Oryzias latipes: one gene and its partners. The protein of the gene in region 1 interacts with the protein of each later gene in a pairwise test. Links are inferred from orthologs where the notes say so. Each region holds a gene or a part of one and is shown in the gene's direction. Other genes may lie near its edges.

What was found. The genes of interacting proteins can lie anywhere in the genome.
Region 2: the proteins of sf1 (region 1) and fam168a interact in binary tests that used the Homo sapiens proteins (3 or more experiments, as listed by UniProt). The two-hybrid records come from large-scale screens. The link is inferred for Oryzias latipes from reciprocal best matches to the Homo sapiens genes SF1 and FAM168A.
Region 3: the proteins of sf1 (region 1) and sf3a1 interact in binary tests that used the Homo sapiens proteins (3 or more experiments, as listed by UniProt). The link is inferred for Oryzias latipes from reciprocal best matches to the Homo sapiens genes SF1 and SF3A1.
Region 4: the proteins of sf1 (region 1) and kpna1 interact in binary tests that used the Homo sapiens proteins (3 or more experiments, as listed by UniProt). The link is inferred for Oryzias latipes from reciprocal best matches to the Homo sapiens genes SF1 and KPNA1.

The regions. Positions count from the first base shown.
Region 1 is NC_019876.2:29,186,650-29,190,184, forward strand, and holds the end of sf1 (splicing factor 1), read left to right. Parts: coding exon 1-112; intron 113-197; coding exon 198-313; intron 314-441; coding exon 442-549; intron 550-626; coding exon 627-816; intron 817-887; coding exon 888-1,128; intron 1,129-1,817; coding exon 1,818-1,982; intron 1,983-2,103; coding exon 2,104-2,432; 3' UTR 2,433-3,033; downstream 3,034-3,535. UniProt on the Homo sapiens protein: Necessary for the ATP-dependent first step of spliceosome assembly. Binds to the intron branch point sequence (BPS) 5'-UACUAAC-3' of the pre-mRNA. May act as transcription repressor.
Region 2 is NC_019871.2:20,750,903-20,754,881, reverse strand, and holds the start of fam168a (protein FAM168A), read left to right. Parts: upstream 1-1,167; 5' UTR 1,168-1,293; intron 1,294-1,878; exon of another isoform or gene 1,879-2,673; intron 2,674-3,979.
Region 3 is NC_019867.2:18,886,028-18,890,302, reverse strand, and holds the start of sf3a1 (splicing factor 3A subunit 1), read left to right. Parts: upstream 1-1,463; 5' UTR 1,464-1,486; intron 1,487-1,597; 5' UTR 1,598-1,639; coding exon 1,640-1,687; intron 1,688-2,179; coding exon 2,180-2,289; intron 2,290-2,371; coding exon 2,372-2,576; intron 2,577-2,650; coding exon 2,651-2,908; intron 2,909-2,992; coding exon 2,993-3,067; intron 3,068-3,132; coding exon 3,133-3,283; intron 3,284-3,363; coding exon 3,364-3,560; intron 3,561-3,664; coding exon 3,665-3,782; intron 3,783-3,886; coding exon 3,887-4,194; intron 4,195-4,275. Other genes in the region: ccdc157 (coiled-coil domain-containing protein 157), read right to left, coding at 35-722, 811-961, 1,099-1,463. UniProt on the Homo sapiens protein: Component of the 17S U2 SnRNP complex of the spliceosome, a large ribonucleoprotein complex that removes introns from transcribed pre-mRNAs.
Region 4 is NC_019878.2:17,889,050-17,893,159, reverse strand, and holds the start of kpna1 (importin subunit alpha-5), read left to right. Parts: upstream 1-1,298; 5' UTR 1,299-1,414; intron 1,415-2,032; 5' UTR 2,033-2,040; coding exon 2,041-2,166; intron 2,167-2,432; coding exon 2,433-2,546; intron 2,547-2,647; coding exon 2,648-2,747; intron 2,748-3,019; coding exon 3,020-3,114; intron 3,115-3,228; coding exon 3,229-3,360; intron 3,361-3,477; coding exon 3,478-3,566; intron 3,567-3,664; coding exon 3,665-3,764; intron 3,765-4,110. UniProt on the Homo sapiens protein: Functions in nuclear protein import as an adapter protein for nuclear receptor KPNB1. Binds specifically and directly to substrates containing either a simple or bipartite NLS motif.

The DNA.
Region 1 (3,535 bases):
AGAAGGGAAGGTCGGGCGAAAGGATGGCCAGATGCTGCCCGGAGAGGACGAGCCTCTGCACGCCTTGGTCACGGCCAACACCATGGAAAATGTCAAGAAGGCTGTGGAGCAGGTGTGTTTGCTGGTGGACACTTCCCAGTCTGATGTGTTTCCAGCTACAGGAGCAGATTTGGTTCTGATGGGAAAACTGTTCACAGATCCGAAACATCCTCAAGCAAGGAATCGAGACGCCTGAGGACCAAAACGACCTACGCAAGATGCAGCTGAGGGAGCTGGCCAGACTCAACGGCACTCTCAGAGAAGACGACAACAGGTGTGTGTGTGTGGCGCTATGGGCTGTTCTGCCCATAAAAACGACTCCACGAAAGGAGGATTTAGGGAAAGGTTCAAGCTTTATGTTGAAAGCGGCGCTGAAGATTGTTTCCTCGTTTTTCCTTGCAGGATTCTTCGTCCTTGGCAGAACTCGGAGCCACGCAGCATCACCAACACCACCCTTTGCACAAAGTGTGGTGGAGCCGGTCACATCTCTTCTGACTGCAAGTACACCAGGTAACCATCAGCCTCGGTCTGGAGGTTCCAGTTGCAGAACTCGTCACAAAGATTCATTTGTTGTTGTTGTTCTGCAGCACCTTCGCTGCCCACAGAGCCACAGGCGGGGAGCCCCCCCAGTCAGCGCAGGACAAGGCTCGTATGGACAAAGAATACCTGTCCCTCATGGCTGAGCTGGGGGAGGCCCCCGTCCCCAGCTCTGGCGGGGGACACTCCAACTCTCAGTCAGGATCTCGGAATTCCGGCCCCAACAGCAACCAGGCGATGGTCAGTTCAGGAAACAGACTGGAGCTGCTTCTTTGATGAGTGGAAAGCGTCTTAGCTGATGTGTGTTTCAGAACCGCCCCCCCTGGATGAGCTCTGGCCCCTCAGAGAACAGGAACTACTCTGCTGTTCAGGGAGGTCCCGCTGGACCCCACGGCTTCCCTCCCCCGATGCCTAGCATGGGAGGACCACCGCTTCCTCCCAATCCTAACGGAATGCCCCCACCCTGGATGCAGCCGCCCCCACCTCCCATGGGCCAGGGACCCCATGGACACCCCATGGGTAGGAGCTTTCATTGCCCAGAAGACGCACAATGTAAATATTACTCTTCTTTTCAAACAAACTGACTTTCAAATTCAAATGTAGCGGTCAGCAAGTAAAACGGTTCACTTCTGGCCCCAACCTAATGAAGTCAATTCAGTCGCCACTTTCTCACGGTATGGACGCCGTCATGTTGGAACCATCAGTAAGAAGGGATCTGCCTGAGTAGACGTTTCTATGGCAACCAGGAGTGAGCTTGTTGAAAGGCCACACCTGAAAGCAGGCTCAGGAGAATCTGTCAATCACACGTTTTCAACGCTCACATTTAGCGGGGCGTCTGATTGGTCCGTTTATAACTTGAGTGACTTGCAAGAAAGAAAAGAGATTTTAAAAACATTTAGCATTATCAAGATTTTAAAATAGGAATCTGAGCCAGAGCGGTCCTTAGTTCTCTATCGAAGTCTGGAATTTTGGCTTTTTGGAGCCAGCAGGTACTTCCTGTTTGGAACGCCGGGGGGGGAGGGGTCACTCAGTCCAGTTCCCATTTACAGTCAATCAATTCTGGCAAAAAAAAGTATATTATTGTGCTTTCAATTTTATATAATATTTACTTTGGTGTAAAGGATTTTTGTGTTTAAAGTGTTTTATAAATAAAGATTGATTTGGTTTATAAATAAAGGTGGAAGGCGGCGCCTTCCTCTGAACCTTCAAAGCAGAACTGAGCATCACATCTGTTTGTTTAGGTATGATGCCACCTCCAATGGGTATGATGCCACCACCTCCTCCACCCCCCAGCAGCCAGCCCCCTCCACCACCCTCCGCTCCCTTGCCACCATGGCAACAACAGGCTCCGCCCCCTCCTCCTACAAGCAGCATGGCAACAAGTACACCGCTGCCGTGGCAGCAGAGTAAGTATCCAACCAGAATCTGGTGCAGTGCATGTCAGACCCCAGCAGGGTCACGCCAGGGCGGTGTTGCTGCGTTTTGGCGCCGTTTGGTGACCGTCTGTCCCCTCCTCCTCCCTCGCAGACACCACCACCACCACCTCCAGCACCGGCACGCTGCCTCCATGGCAGCAGCCCCAACAGCCTTCTGTGTCTGCAGCTCAGCCCCCTCTGCCCATCGGAACCGCATCCATGGTGCCGCCTCCTCCCGGGGTCCAGCCCCCCTTGCCCCCAGGCGCCCCTCCGCCGCCACCCCCACCACCTCCGGGCTCCACCAGCATGATGTATGTTCCGCCGCCCCCTCCGCCACCCATGGACCCTTCCAATTTTGTTACCATGATGGGGATGGGAGTTCCGGGCATGCCACCCTTTGGGATGCCCCCCGCCCCTCCTCCTCCTCCCCCACAGAATTAATTCTCAATTGCAGTTGCCCGACAGCCCCCCCCTCCATCACATGATTCGGTCCGGCTGATTGACGCTACAGTCCACAGAGGAGTGGTTTCCAGCTGTGAGCGGCTGCATCCGTTCTGCTGCTGCAGCGCCGCGGTTGTCATGGAAACCCGCCCCCCCTTCATGGTTTCTGTGCTCCAATGAATCTGAACATTTTAGTTTGAGGTCCCAGCTGAAGCTGCATGATCCGAGCTCAGTCTGGTCCGCTGTTTTCCCGCCCTTCTCTGTTTTCCCGCCTTCAATCAGATGAATATTTTTGTAACAGTGAGACGATCGGTGACACGGATCTTAGCTCAGTCCAAAACGCTCCGTGTTGTAACTCATTTCCCTGTTGGTTGCTTAGCTCTAGACTATAATTGCTGTTTCCTGCTCTTCTTTTCACTGCATCTGCGTTCAGAAACGCAGAGACGGAACGGCGTTTGTGTGGCTTTGAGAAGATTCTGTTCTGTTCTTTCTTAGACGGACGTCAACAGAGCATCTTGTCTTTTTCCTTGTTTGTGGATTTGTCTCTGACCTCAATAAAAATATAATTCTTGGTTTGGTAATAAACTGATCAGTAAGCTTCCTTTCTGTGGATGTGAGGTCTTTGCACTCACTCTGAAATCTCAGGATTGTCAACCATGAACCCGTTCTGTCAAACGTCTGCTGCTGCGTGAACTTCTCGCTCCGCCTCCGTGTTGCAGAAGCTGTGTAACACGCATGTCTCACATACGGTGCAAACGGAGGTCAAAGCTTCTTTGAGGACTTGTCGTTCAGATTTCCCAACAGATCTCTAAAAATTGCAGCAGAGACAACAGGAAGAGTCTCAGGACGCAGATCCCCTCATTGCCCCTTACTGTGTTTTAATAATAGGTATTTACATGTATTTAGATGAATATTTACCAAAACTAAATGCAAAAGTAGTTTCAAAGACCCACTCCGGTCATCTTCTGTTCTATTTTTTTCAACGTTTTTAGCCAAAATTAGAGCATGTCGTTTTCTAGGACATAGTTTCTGCAGAGCGGCAGGAGTTCATCAAATTCACCTCTGATGTCCCATCATTTCTTTGTTTACACTCTGTCCCGCTA
Region 2 (3,979 bases), on another chromosome or scaffold:
AGCATCTTTGTATGCACAACATGTCCAACCGTGAGGCAGATGGGCTACAGCAGCAGAGAACCTCACCGGGTGCCGCTCCTGTCAGCTAAGAACAGGAAACTGAGGCTGCAATTAACACAGACTCACCAAAACTGGACAATAGAAGATTGGAAAAACCTTGTCTGGTCTGATGAATCTCCATCTCTGCTTCAACATTTGGATGGTAGGGTCAGAATTTGGCATCAAAAACATGAAATCATGGAGCCATCCAGTCTTATATCAAGAGTTTAGGCTGGTGCTGGTGGTGCACTGGTGTGGGGGCACACTTTGGGTCCCTTAGTACCAATTGAGGATCTTTTCAACTTCACAGTGTACCTGTGTATTGTCGCTGACCATGTCCGTCCCTTTATGACCACAGTTTCTACTTTTGGTACTTCCAGTAGGATAATGCACCATGTCATAAAGCTGGAATCATCTCAGACTGGTTTCTTGAACATGACTATGAGTTCACTGGACTCAAATGACCTCCACAGTCACCAGATCTCAACCCAATAGATCACCTTTGGGAGGTGGTGGCACGGGAGATTGGCATCATGGATGTGCAGCCAACAAACCCGAGGCAACTGCGTGATGTTATCATGTTAATACGGACAAAACTCTCTGAGGAATGTTTCCAGCACCTTGTTGAATACATACCACCAAGGATTAAGCCAGTTCTGAAGAAAATGTGATTGTTTGAAATCAACAAATTACAATTCGTGAGCAACCTGGTTTATGACCACATGGCGGCGCTGTCTTGCTGTGTAGAAAACGTACATGAAGACAGAAAGATAGACTACGTCCAGATTTTCTTTGTACAGAAAAAAAAACAATGCAAACAATATTATAATATAATTTGCCAAAAGCAGTTGCATGTATGTTGCCGCTTCATATAGTATGTATTACTAATTATTTACAATAATAAAGTATTAACCTAAGATTTTTTCCCCCCATAATGTTGTCTTTATTATTAAAACAAAACAAAAAATGTGACTTCGCAAATTCCCATTCTCCTCGTGGTTTGGAGCGCATTGATCCGCTGATCGGACCCCCTCCGCCGTTCATAATCGGTGCCTCGTCCCCCCCGCCGTTCTGCTTGCATCCCAGCATCCCTCCCTCCTTCCCTCTCGGCGGTGCATCCCCATCCCCCACACGTCGGCCGTCTCTCCGGTTGAAAGCTGTTTCCAAGCGTCACTGGCCGAGCAGAAAGAACCAGTCCTCACCGACCGAGCGCACCGCAGCACGCCGAGAAGTCTTTGTTTTCGAGTGGTTTCGGTGAGTCCCGTTTTGCTGGCTGTCGTGGAGGGCAGAAATGTCCATAGGTCGACTTTTTATATCTGCGTTCTTTGACTTCTTCCCCCTCCCTTTCCCTTCAATTGTCCTCCGTGGTGACTAGTGGGAATCTAGCGGGCTAAGCTAAAAATGCTAACGATAATAGCGGACACTAAATGGACACACTAAATGCACCGGATGTGCGTTAATGCTTATAGGTTTCGAATCTAAATATTTAAACATGTTTACATTATTTAAGCCATGTTATTGTTGTTAGTTTTTTTCCTGCAATTGTCCGGTAATTTATCGGCTAGCCTGCTATTAGCGACGTGAGCAGCGTGCACCGATGGATGCGGGGATGCAGCGGCCGGTTAGCGGCTGTCTTTTTCGGGCTAGCTTGAAAGCTAACGTTTCGATAAGAGTTCAACCGTTTCCAGCGCTTTTGTTTCCCAATGATTCGACCTCACGCGTGTTGATTGATCGTCTCGTGTTAACTGGCAGCTTCTGGAGGTTGTTGCACAAAAAATCTGGGGATTTTCAAAATGGTGTCTTTGGCTTGTATTGACTGTGTGACCATTTTTGTCCAACCTTTGCTGTTTTGGCGTTGCTCGCTATCTGTGGTGAGCAGCGCAGCCCCGACCGATGCGTGCCGCGGGCTGATAGAAGAAATACATCCGAACCACCAAGGTTCTGAGAAATGTACAGGAGGCTGCAGGATAATAATATATCAAGATAAAAAGAATGTTTTGTTGTCAAACAATTTTAAAATCATTATTTATTTTCCTAAAACCTGTTATGCTTTAAAATATACATTTCCATCCTACAGAAAACAATAGAGTAAATGCATAATCAACATGGGTTTACCTTTATAAATTTGTTACAACTTTTATTTAGTAGGAAAGTCCCAGTTAGATTTGTGTTGGGCACCAGTTTGTTTGATTCATTTGATTTTGAGTATCTCCCTAAAATGAGTCCCAATCTGATATGTTTGTAACGCATCAAATAAATGAACATTTTAATAAACTAATCGAGGTTCTCCTCTATTTTTATTTTATTAACTTTCTTTTACATTTTGACACCGATCATTTGTTTATTGGTTCAAAAACGTTCTTAGAAGTCCCTTAATTACAATCATGCCATTTTTAGCCAAAGTAAAAAAAACTTTAGGCTGTGTCCGAATTCCCTCCCTAATCCCTAACTACTAAAAACTATATAGTAAACTATGTAGTGCCCTTTTAAAAGTAATTCAGACACCACGCTCAATACTTTTTTTGCTAACAGCGAATATGACAACCGATTTCACAAAGTGAAAATCTAATTGATAGGAGTGTTCTACAACAACTGTTTATGAATCCACTGTGTTCTGATGATGAAAATGTTGAATTTTTATTTGAAAACAGATTTAAATACATTTTATCTTGCAAAAATTGTTCAGACGCAATGCATAATGGTCTATATTTGCCAATCTAGTAAGCATTGATGCACACTGCATCAATGACTTCTGGGAAATTTCTAGGCCACTCGATTTTGGATTTGTAGATTTGGACAGCCTCACAAAATGGTGAACGCACTATAAAGTGCACTATATATTTATAATTAGTCCTTGTAAGAATGTTTGGTTACTGTATCTTTAGTGTCTTTAGAACTATTGATCGTTTTTTTTAAACATATATGATTTGATTTGTTCCATTAAAAATTTCCAAAAATTAAAAACAATGACTTTCCTCCAAAATTGTTGTTTCAGCATGAATATGATGAGTATTCATGACTAGTTCATATCAATGTAACCATTTATTTGTTTTGATTCTTTTTAATCACTTTTCCTGGAGCTTTCACTTTGTAGACGGTCCCTTGGCAGCGGTTTCTTTGCTAGAGTAGATATTAAAGAGGGAAAAAAATTGATTGAAATGCCTTTGTAGGTCATTGCTTGGCTTAAGACAAACTGATAGAGACACCTTTTGTTAGTTTAAAGCGCTTAAGAGAGTTATTCAGCCCGTAAGCCTGAATCTGTGAATATATTGCTAACTTTACCAAAATGTTTTTGTTCTTCACTCCTATTCAAACTAGAGTCGTGATCCGTTCATGATATACAGACTTCTACTAGGGCATTTTTTGAAATAATAAGCTTGGGATGTATAGTGTGTTAATTGGGCCCAATTTTTTGATCATGTGACCTGATCAGGACATCCCTAGTTTTTATCACTTCGGTTCGTGTTTTGACACATCCGTCTTAAACTTGAAATAGTATTTTGTAACTCCTCCTATAAAATAAGCATATTTCCTAATTGAAACATGTGCTATCCCGGCTCAAAATCATGTATATTTGTTTTAAACATGTAAAGCAAAGGTATAGATTTAGAATTTAGCCTGTTGTGGTCTTCATCTGTCCTGTCATCTAAGCTGGTGTGTGGCATTGTTGAGTTTTAGCTGGCTGTATAATGGAGCTATTAAACTGTCAAACCTTTAAAAGCTAGAATCACTTAGTGTTACATCAGGAGCTCACAAATAGACCTTTGTGTTGTCAACACTTTTTTTTCCTGTGATTGGAGCTGCTTAAGGATTTGCTGCTTAGGGACCTAAAGACATTCAAAAAAATCTTCATTCAAGTAGCCTTCAGCAGCCCACTATACTATCTGTTAATTCGAGATTTCATTTTTAATGGTGACTACGAGATGACCGTTGCTTTTTT
Region 3 (4,275 bases), on another chromosome or scaffold:
TTGTTTTTATTGTGCTGGTTAATGTGATTAATACCTTTTTTAAGCTGTTTATGCTCCTCCTGTTGCTTTTGTTCAGTTTGCTTTGCGCTTCTCTGTGCTTCCTGCAGTGAAAACTCCAGTTGTTCTATATTTGTTTGCTGTTTTTCTAGTTGTTGTTCAAAATCCTTCTGCACTGTTTTTAGTTGAGATCTGATGGCCTCACGATCCGTTTCAGCTGCTGCTACTCTGTCTTGGAGGGGCAGTACCGTTCCCCTCACATCCTGCAGGTGTTTTGCCAGCCTGCGCATGTCTCTGAGCTGTTCATTGGCCCACTGTGCAACATCACCTGGAGTCAGATGTCCCACCCTCACTGTCTCATCCACAACTGCTGAGAGAGGCTGCAGAGATGAGGGTAGACCTTCACTTTGAAACAGATCTATCAAAGATTCTCCAGTTTTTCTCAAAAGAGATTGCACTTGGTGACATGTACCACAAGGGATGAGGGACGTTTGTGCAGTCTGGCAGCTGACATTATGGGAGGCAGTTTTAGGATGGAATGAGGTTTGTTCGGGGGAACTGATGGTGATGTTATTTTGTGGGAGGAATTTAAATGAGCTTGTGGAAGACCAGGATATGGAAGAATGCCTGGAGCAACTTGTGCTGGATCTATTGAGAGGGGACTCGACGTTTGACTCATCAGATTCCACTGAATTTGTCTTTTCTGCAATGTTTTTGAAGAGTTCCTAAAAAGACATAAAAGGCATTTAAAGTCAAATACTTTTGCATGTGTTTTTATCCCTGTGGCATTACTAGAAAAAGAGGTTTCTTTACCTTTTTATCTGCAAATTGAAGTAAATCCCCCCAATAATTCCTGACCACAAGACCAACTGACATGCTGCCTCTGTGTGCAGCTCCTTCTGGTCTGTGGACCCCCATCTGTTGTTCAGCATAAACGCTGACGCTTTGAAGAAGAAACAGGAGCCTTGTTGGGGAACAAGAACATGCAGAGATGCTTTTAAAGTCATTATATATATATATATATATATATATATATATATATATATATATATATATATATATATATATATATATTTTACATGCAATACAACATTAGGTTACCTGTCAATCATCAATTCCAGGAGAATAATGTGGGAATGCTGATTGAAGTCATCTTCTCCTGCCACGAAGTCATATTCCTCCAACAAAGCAACAATGTCTAGATGACAGGAAAGTTTGTCCGGGAATTTCCAGGAGGAAGCGCAGACTGGTCCTGTTCTGGAGAGCACGTCCAGAACCGCACCCTGAATATCGATGAGGTCTTTTCTTAGATTCTTGATAGAATCCTGACGACCCAACAACAAACTCATGTCTAAAACGCTTATTTGGCGCCTATAAGTACTTGTTGACGTGAGGTCTCCTTGGCAACAGTTAACTCCAAGTCCCACAGTTCTTAGCGGATATTTCCGGAAGTAATTGGCCGCCATTGCGTTAACGAAAACGAGACGCGGTGAGTATTAACGTCGACAAATAAAGAATTATAGCTGTATTAGCTATTACTTTTTGACTTACAGAATTTTTTTTAAAGAATTCATTTCAAAATATATGTGTGTTGCTTTAGTGTTTTCAGGTAAAATTGGTGATTCGTTAAAAAGACGCAGCCATGCCGCCCGGGCCTGTTCAAATGGTTCAGCCTGAGCCTAACAACAAGGTAAGGACGCTAACTAGCTAACATTAGCCTCAGATATCCGTCGCTTTTCTTAATGATTTATCGCCTTATAAAATTCGCCCCCTTTATGCAAAGCTTTCTAAGCCTGTCCAAAATTAAATGCTAATGTTTATAAAGCTGTAAAACATATGGGGCAACGTTTGCGTCTATATGTGTGGCCCTAAAAATTCCCAAGTTGAGAAAGTCAATAAAATTAGGTAACAGATATTACTTAAACTATGATTGCACTTCAATATTTGGTATCTTTGCATATGGTTTAGACTAAATGTGTTAGTTGTATTCTCAGGTTTTTAATGATCGAGTGGTTTAATGTTTAAATTGTTGCAGTGTATCTTAGAATTACCTAAAGTAAGTCTTATTAATTAATAAGTGAATTGATAATGTTTGTGTAATAATATTTTTAAGGAGGAACTTCACTGTACTTGATGTTATTTTTAAATATAAATATTCTTACTTTGAACCTTCTCTTGTCAGAATGATACACCTCCGGAGGAAACTCCAGCCACTAAACCTATTGTTGGCATCATATATCCTCCTCCTGAGGTCCGTAATATAGTTGACAAGACTGCGAGCTTTGTTGCCAGGTTGGTTGCCAAAGAACTGTCACGTACAGCTGTAAGAGGTGTTTGCTATCTGTAGTTTGACTCTATACTTGTCACTTTACAGGAATGGGCCTGAGTTTGAAGCAAGAATCCGTCAGAATGAGATCAACAATCCAAAATTTAATTTCCTCAACCCCAACGATCCCTACCATGCTTACTACCGCCACAAAGTCAATGAGTTTAAGGAGGGCAAAGCTCAAGAACCGTCCGCCGCAGTGCCCAAGGTTATGCAGCAGGCTATGCAGCAATCTCAGCAGCTTCCACAAAAAGTAAGGACTGTCTATTTACTGTGCCCGGACCTACAAGGGTTTATATTTATACAAACTTGCCTTTTCTTCATCAGGTGCAGTCCCAGGTGATTCAGGAAACTGTGGTCCCCAAAGAACCGCCTCCAGAGTTTGAATTCATAGCTGATCCTCCATCAATCTCTGCATTCGATCTTGATGTTGTGAAGCTCACTGCCCAGTTTGTTGCACGAAACGGCCGTCAGTTTCTCACCCAGCTCATGCAAAAAGAACAGAGGAACTACCAATTTGACTTTTTGAGACCCCAGCACAGCCTTTTCAACTACTTCACAAAACTGGTGGAACAATATACCAAGGTAAAGGACAAAAATTACAGCTTTCTTTGTTTTTTTATTGAAACTGTGTTATTGAACTTTTTTAAATGTTGCCTCAACCTTTAGATTCTGATCCCCCCAAAGGGTCTGCTGGCCAAACTAAAGAGAGAGGCTGAGAATCCAAAGGAGGTTATGGACCAGGTAATTTATTTTAGCCTTCAGAAGATTATTTTCTATGTTTAAAACTGTCTTGTTACAAACATCAGGTGAGATACCGTGTTGAGTGGGCAAAGTACCAGGAGCGTGAGAGAAAGAAGGAGGAAGAGGAGCGAGAGAAGGAACGCGTAGCCTATGCTCAAATTGACTGGCATGACTTTGTCGTGGTGGAGACTGTGGACTTCCAGCCCAATGAACAAGGTAGCATGACTATAGGAACACCAGGTCCAGATGTTGCAAGAACCATAGTTATTAATTTATTCATTTGGTGTTTTTCCAAGGCCACTTCCCCCCACCTACCACTCCAGAGGAGCTTGGTGCTCGAATCCTCATCCAGGAGCGCTATGAGAAGTATGGAGAAAGTGAGGAGGTGGAGATGGAAGTTGAGAGTGAGGATGAAGAGGATGAACGGGAGAAACGAGCCGGAGGTCAACCCTCACAGCCTGACCAAGACACACAAGTGCAGGACATGGATGAGGTAAACAGTTATCATTTACTACATTTATACAAAGTCCAACACTTGTCTAGGTTTCTTGGTTACTTGTGTAGCAAATTCACAAATTTAAAATGCTACTTCTCCAGGGATCAGATGATGAGGACGATGGAATTAAAGCTCCACTTCCACCTGACAACCCCATGCCACCTCCTCTGCCCCCGACTCCAGACCACGTCATCATTCGAAAAGACTATGATCCCAAAGGTACATTTTTTTCTGTGATTGAAATATTATGAAGTATAAAAACAAGCAAATAAAACAAGCGGTGCATTAAAACTTGTTTCCTTTTTTTTTTTTTTTTTTCACAGCCTCCAAGCCTATGCCCTCAGTTGCAGCTCCAGATGAGTACCTCATTTCACCAATCACTGGTGAGAAGATCCCAGCCAGCAAGATGCAGGAGCACATGCGCATTGGTCTGCTGGACCCACGCTGGCTGGAACAAAGAGACCGCAGCATCAGGGATAGACAGACAGAGGATGAAGTCTATGCTCCTGGTCTGGATATCGAGAGCAGCTTGAAGCAGCTCGCTGAGAGGCGTACTGATATCTTTGGTGTTGAAGAGACAGCCATTGGTAAGAAGATTGGTGAAGAGGAAATCCAGAAGCCAGAGGAGAAGGTGAGTTCCGTAGAAAGTAGCATGGTTTTTGTGAAAAGCATCATTTGAACTCGTTTTTTTATCAACCTGATAGATTTTTTG
Region 4 (4,110 bases), on another chromosome or scaffold:
CAAGCAGATTTTTAAAGTCAAACATGAACCAGCTCTGAAACTGCTATAGACTCTAAAAACTTGTAACGATGATTTCGGTTTTTCCTTTGGTGTTTAACTGAAAACATTGTCTCAACGGTGGATAACTGGTCTCTTCAGTGGGATCATCATCATCATCAGTTACCAGAACTTGTTGGCGGGCAGCATCCTCGCAGCATCCTCTCTCTGCGCTTGCGGGCAATACTTGCGCGTGTGAGCGCGGTCTCCGGTGGCCCCGCAGATGGGACAGGTGTAGTTTCGGAGGATGGGGCAGGTGACCTTCCTGTCGTCCGACCTGAGCGCGTGCGAGCGGTAGACCTGCCGAGTCTCGCCGTTCTGCTTGCAGAAGCGGCAGTAATCTGCGGGGCTCCCGCCGCAACTGGTGTCCGAGAGGCTGCTGACGGAGCTCGTCTCTGCGGAGCTCTGCGTCTGGATGATGCGCCACGGCGCCGCGGGTTCCTGCTTCGGCTTCTCGGGGTCGACCTGCCGCCGGTTGCACAGCCTTTGCAGGAGTGCGCCCAGGTTCATGTAGTCGTGCCACATGTCAAAGCAGTCCTCGCTGAGGACGTGCGCGCTCTGGACATCCACAGTTGTTTGCACCGAGGCCATTTTTGGAACACAAATTTCGATCAGTTCCAAGTTAGTCTGGAGAGTTTTAAATTTAAATACTTTCAAAATAAAACCTGAAACAATGATTGCAGATGTTTGGGCACTCAAAGGCTTTGTTCTTCAGATTATTTTACAGGTGTATCAATTCGTACTTTTAGGAATAAAAAGGAGGTTAAATTAGGCTAAAAAAACTAATTTAAGAGCTATTTTTGGGATGCAGATTTGAATGTATGCGCCAATTAGGCCATTGTGTTGGTTCTGTCTATTGCTTAGCTTAATTTTTTTATGTCATGATCCTAATTTCTTTTTCCTTTGTTGAGAAGTATCACTTTTAACATCTGTTAATCTTTTGCAGCCCAAACATTTAAGGCCACTTCATCATTTGGATGGACACGGTGTCCACCTCGGGTCATTTAAAGACCACAGGCGCCGGATCGTCTAGTCAGGGCCACTTCAAAAACATTTAAAAACACACCTGCACGCGGGCAGGTGTTGCACACACGACCCCTCCTTGAAGTTTGAAAGCACGATTTCAGCCATTGATTGAACTGCGATACCCACATACCGACTGTGCTTCAAAAAGAAACTCCATCATTAGAGTTTGTGTCCATTTTTTTTGAAAACCGCACAACTATTCACTTGTTTACCAGGGCCAGCTCCTTGTGTGGGTGGAGCCAAAGGAGCGTCACTGAATACGTTTATTTGACGCATGCGTAGTGGCATACCGGCGACGGCAGCAGAAGCAGTGGCTTAGCGATTTAGGGGATTATAAAACCTAAACTGACAGGTATGTATAATGTATCTACACATTGTTGTTCTATACTTTTACCGCTTTTAGATTACGAATAAATGATTTTAGTATGTGTGTTTAAAAGTTTGGTGACAAATAAGCTGTTAAAAGGCATGTGTTACTCGGGGTTTTCAGCTAAGCTAACGTCAAGCTAGCTCGTTAGCAGCAGAGGCTAGCAAGAGCTGTGACATCAACAAGCTAATCATGTGGGAAATTAAGTAAATAAGCATTTTTTACTATAGACTGTTTGATGTCTTGATTTCTAATGAGAACCCATATCTCTCTATAAATAGAAAGAAAAGTCATTTGTTCCACAGTAATGATTTTGGTATTGGGCAAACATGCCGAAAGCTAGCAAACTATAAAGCTAACTGCTACAAGCCCTTCTGACAATCTTGAGTAATATGTTCGAGACGTCTGAAAACGACCTGCATTCTTGGTTTTGCTATACATTGCGGTGATTGTCATGAAAACCTGAAGAAATACACAGAAGAATGTAAAAGAAAATACAGACATTACAATACATCTACAACATGTGGGTTTTCCAGGATCTGTAACACTAAAGTTCTGCACCACCGGGACTACTAACGAGACTAAAATTCTTCATTTTCTCAGGCTACAAAATGAGTCAGGGGAAGGATAATGCACGACTGAAGAGCTACAAGAACAAGTCTCTCAACACAGATGAGATGAGAAGAAGGAGGGAAGAGGAAGGCCTGCAGCTCAGAAAACAGAAGAAGGACGAACAAGTAAGTAAAGTGTAAACTTTATATTCATCCATCAAACACAATAATTTAGTGTGTTTTCCTAGCTTTTTTCCCCCCTCATAAATTGCTTAGGTTTTTACAATATGGAATTGTGTTACTTCCATATAAGACAAGTAGAAGATATACAAACTGGTAACAGCAGTTATTTTTGTTATGCTGCTTCTTACCTAGTCAAAGTACATATAATAATAAAACCAAAAGATGCTGTACTATTTCTTTGTACAACTTTAAGGACTGTGTCTTTGCAGCTATTTAAAAGAAGAAATGTTGCCACTGTGGAGGATGATGGTGCCCTGGAGGATGATGGAATGGCAGATAGTGGTTATCTGGAATCCCAGGCTAACAACATGGACCCATTTGGGGTGAGAATTAGCTCAATAAAACCTTTTTTATGGTGTTGTTTGTTGCATCTTTCACAATAAATTTGACTGATCTGTTATTGTTTTTACTATGTTCTGCAAAGGGTGGGGTCATTTCTGAGGACATGATTCAGATGATTTTCTCCAGCACTCCAGAGCAGCAGCTAATAGGCACACAACGCTTTAGAAAACTCCTTTCTAAAGGTAAAGGTCTAGCTGAATGCCAGCCTGTTCTATATCGCATAGAGCGATGAACAAATGCATCAACACATTCTACTGTTTAACTAGAGCTAAACAGCCTTGTAAGTTATCTAGAACTAGAAACAATCTTGATCATGTTCAAATTCAATTTGCTGCATCATCTTCATTTCTTTCATTTTTTTTTAATATTACAAAAATAACGAAAGACTGTTCTGATTTGATTTATTTTTAATTTTTAATTAAATAAAAATTGTCTCAATTTTTGTCTCCAACAGAGCCCAATCCACCTATTGATGAGGTCATTGCCACTTCAGGGGTGGTGGAGCGTTTTGTTGAGTTCCTAAAAAGAAGAGAAAATTGCACATTGCAGGTAAAGTGGTTTAATGCCTGAACAAATGCAGCTAGTCTAGTAATCATGAGCTATAGTGTTTTAGATGGAGTTTTTTTTGTCTGTCCTGACATAAATTGGTCGTGTTTTTCTTAGTTTGAAGCTGCGTGGGTTTTGACCAACATTGCTTCAGGCACATCCCACCAGACTAGGGTCGTAATCCAGGCAGGAGCTGTTCCCATATTCATAGAGATGCTCGCCTCGGATTTTGAAGATGTGCAAGAACAGGTGAGGGACATTTTTGTTGTCAATATTTATCTCTTTTCATATTCTTATTTTCAAATTATTACATATTTCGTAAATTCGTTTTTTTATGTCTAACTTGAATTATTTCCTCTTCTGTAGGCAGTGTGGGCTTTGGGTAATATAGCAGGTGATAGCACAGAATGCAGAGACTTTGTCATAGACTGCAATATTCTACCATCCCTGATCCAGTAAGTAGCAGATTATTGTTAAACAGCTCTATGGTTCTCGTTTCACGTGAGATAAATATGAACAAGTCCATGTTTGAACATCGAACTCCTTTTTTCAGATTATTGGCTAAACAGAATCGTTTAACAATGATGAGGAATGCAGTTTGGGCACTGTCTAACCTGTGCAGAGGCAAAAATCCTCCTCCTGACTTCTCCAAGGTAATTTCTCAAGATGATACTTAACATGTCTCTCATTCCCAAAGAACAAGTTAAGTTAAAAACCATTGTTGGTAATTATTTACCGACCCTCCAGGACTTTCAGATGTTGGAATTGCACACTTGCAACTTTTTCTTGACATTGCAACTTTACCCAATCTCTGTAACTTGGAAAAAGTTTTACTTGTAAAACCCTTTCTGCCAATCAAGTTTAGAGGCTCAAACATGTACATCATCAGTCTAACCAATCAAAGGTGCCAACATGGCTGGTAAAATCTCTGTTCCCTCCACAAATCCCAGCTAAAGATTGTTTTTAGCGGCGCAGCCAGCTCCCAGCGGGTTTTGGTGT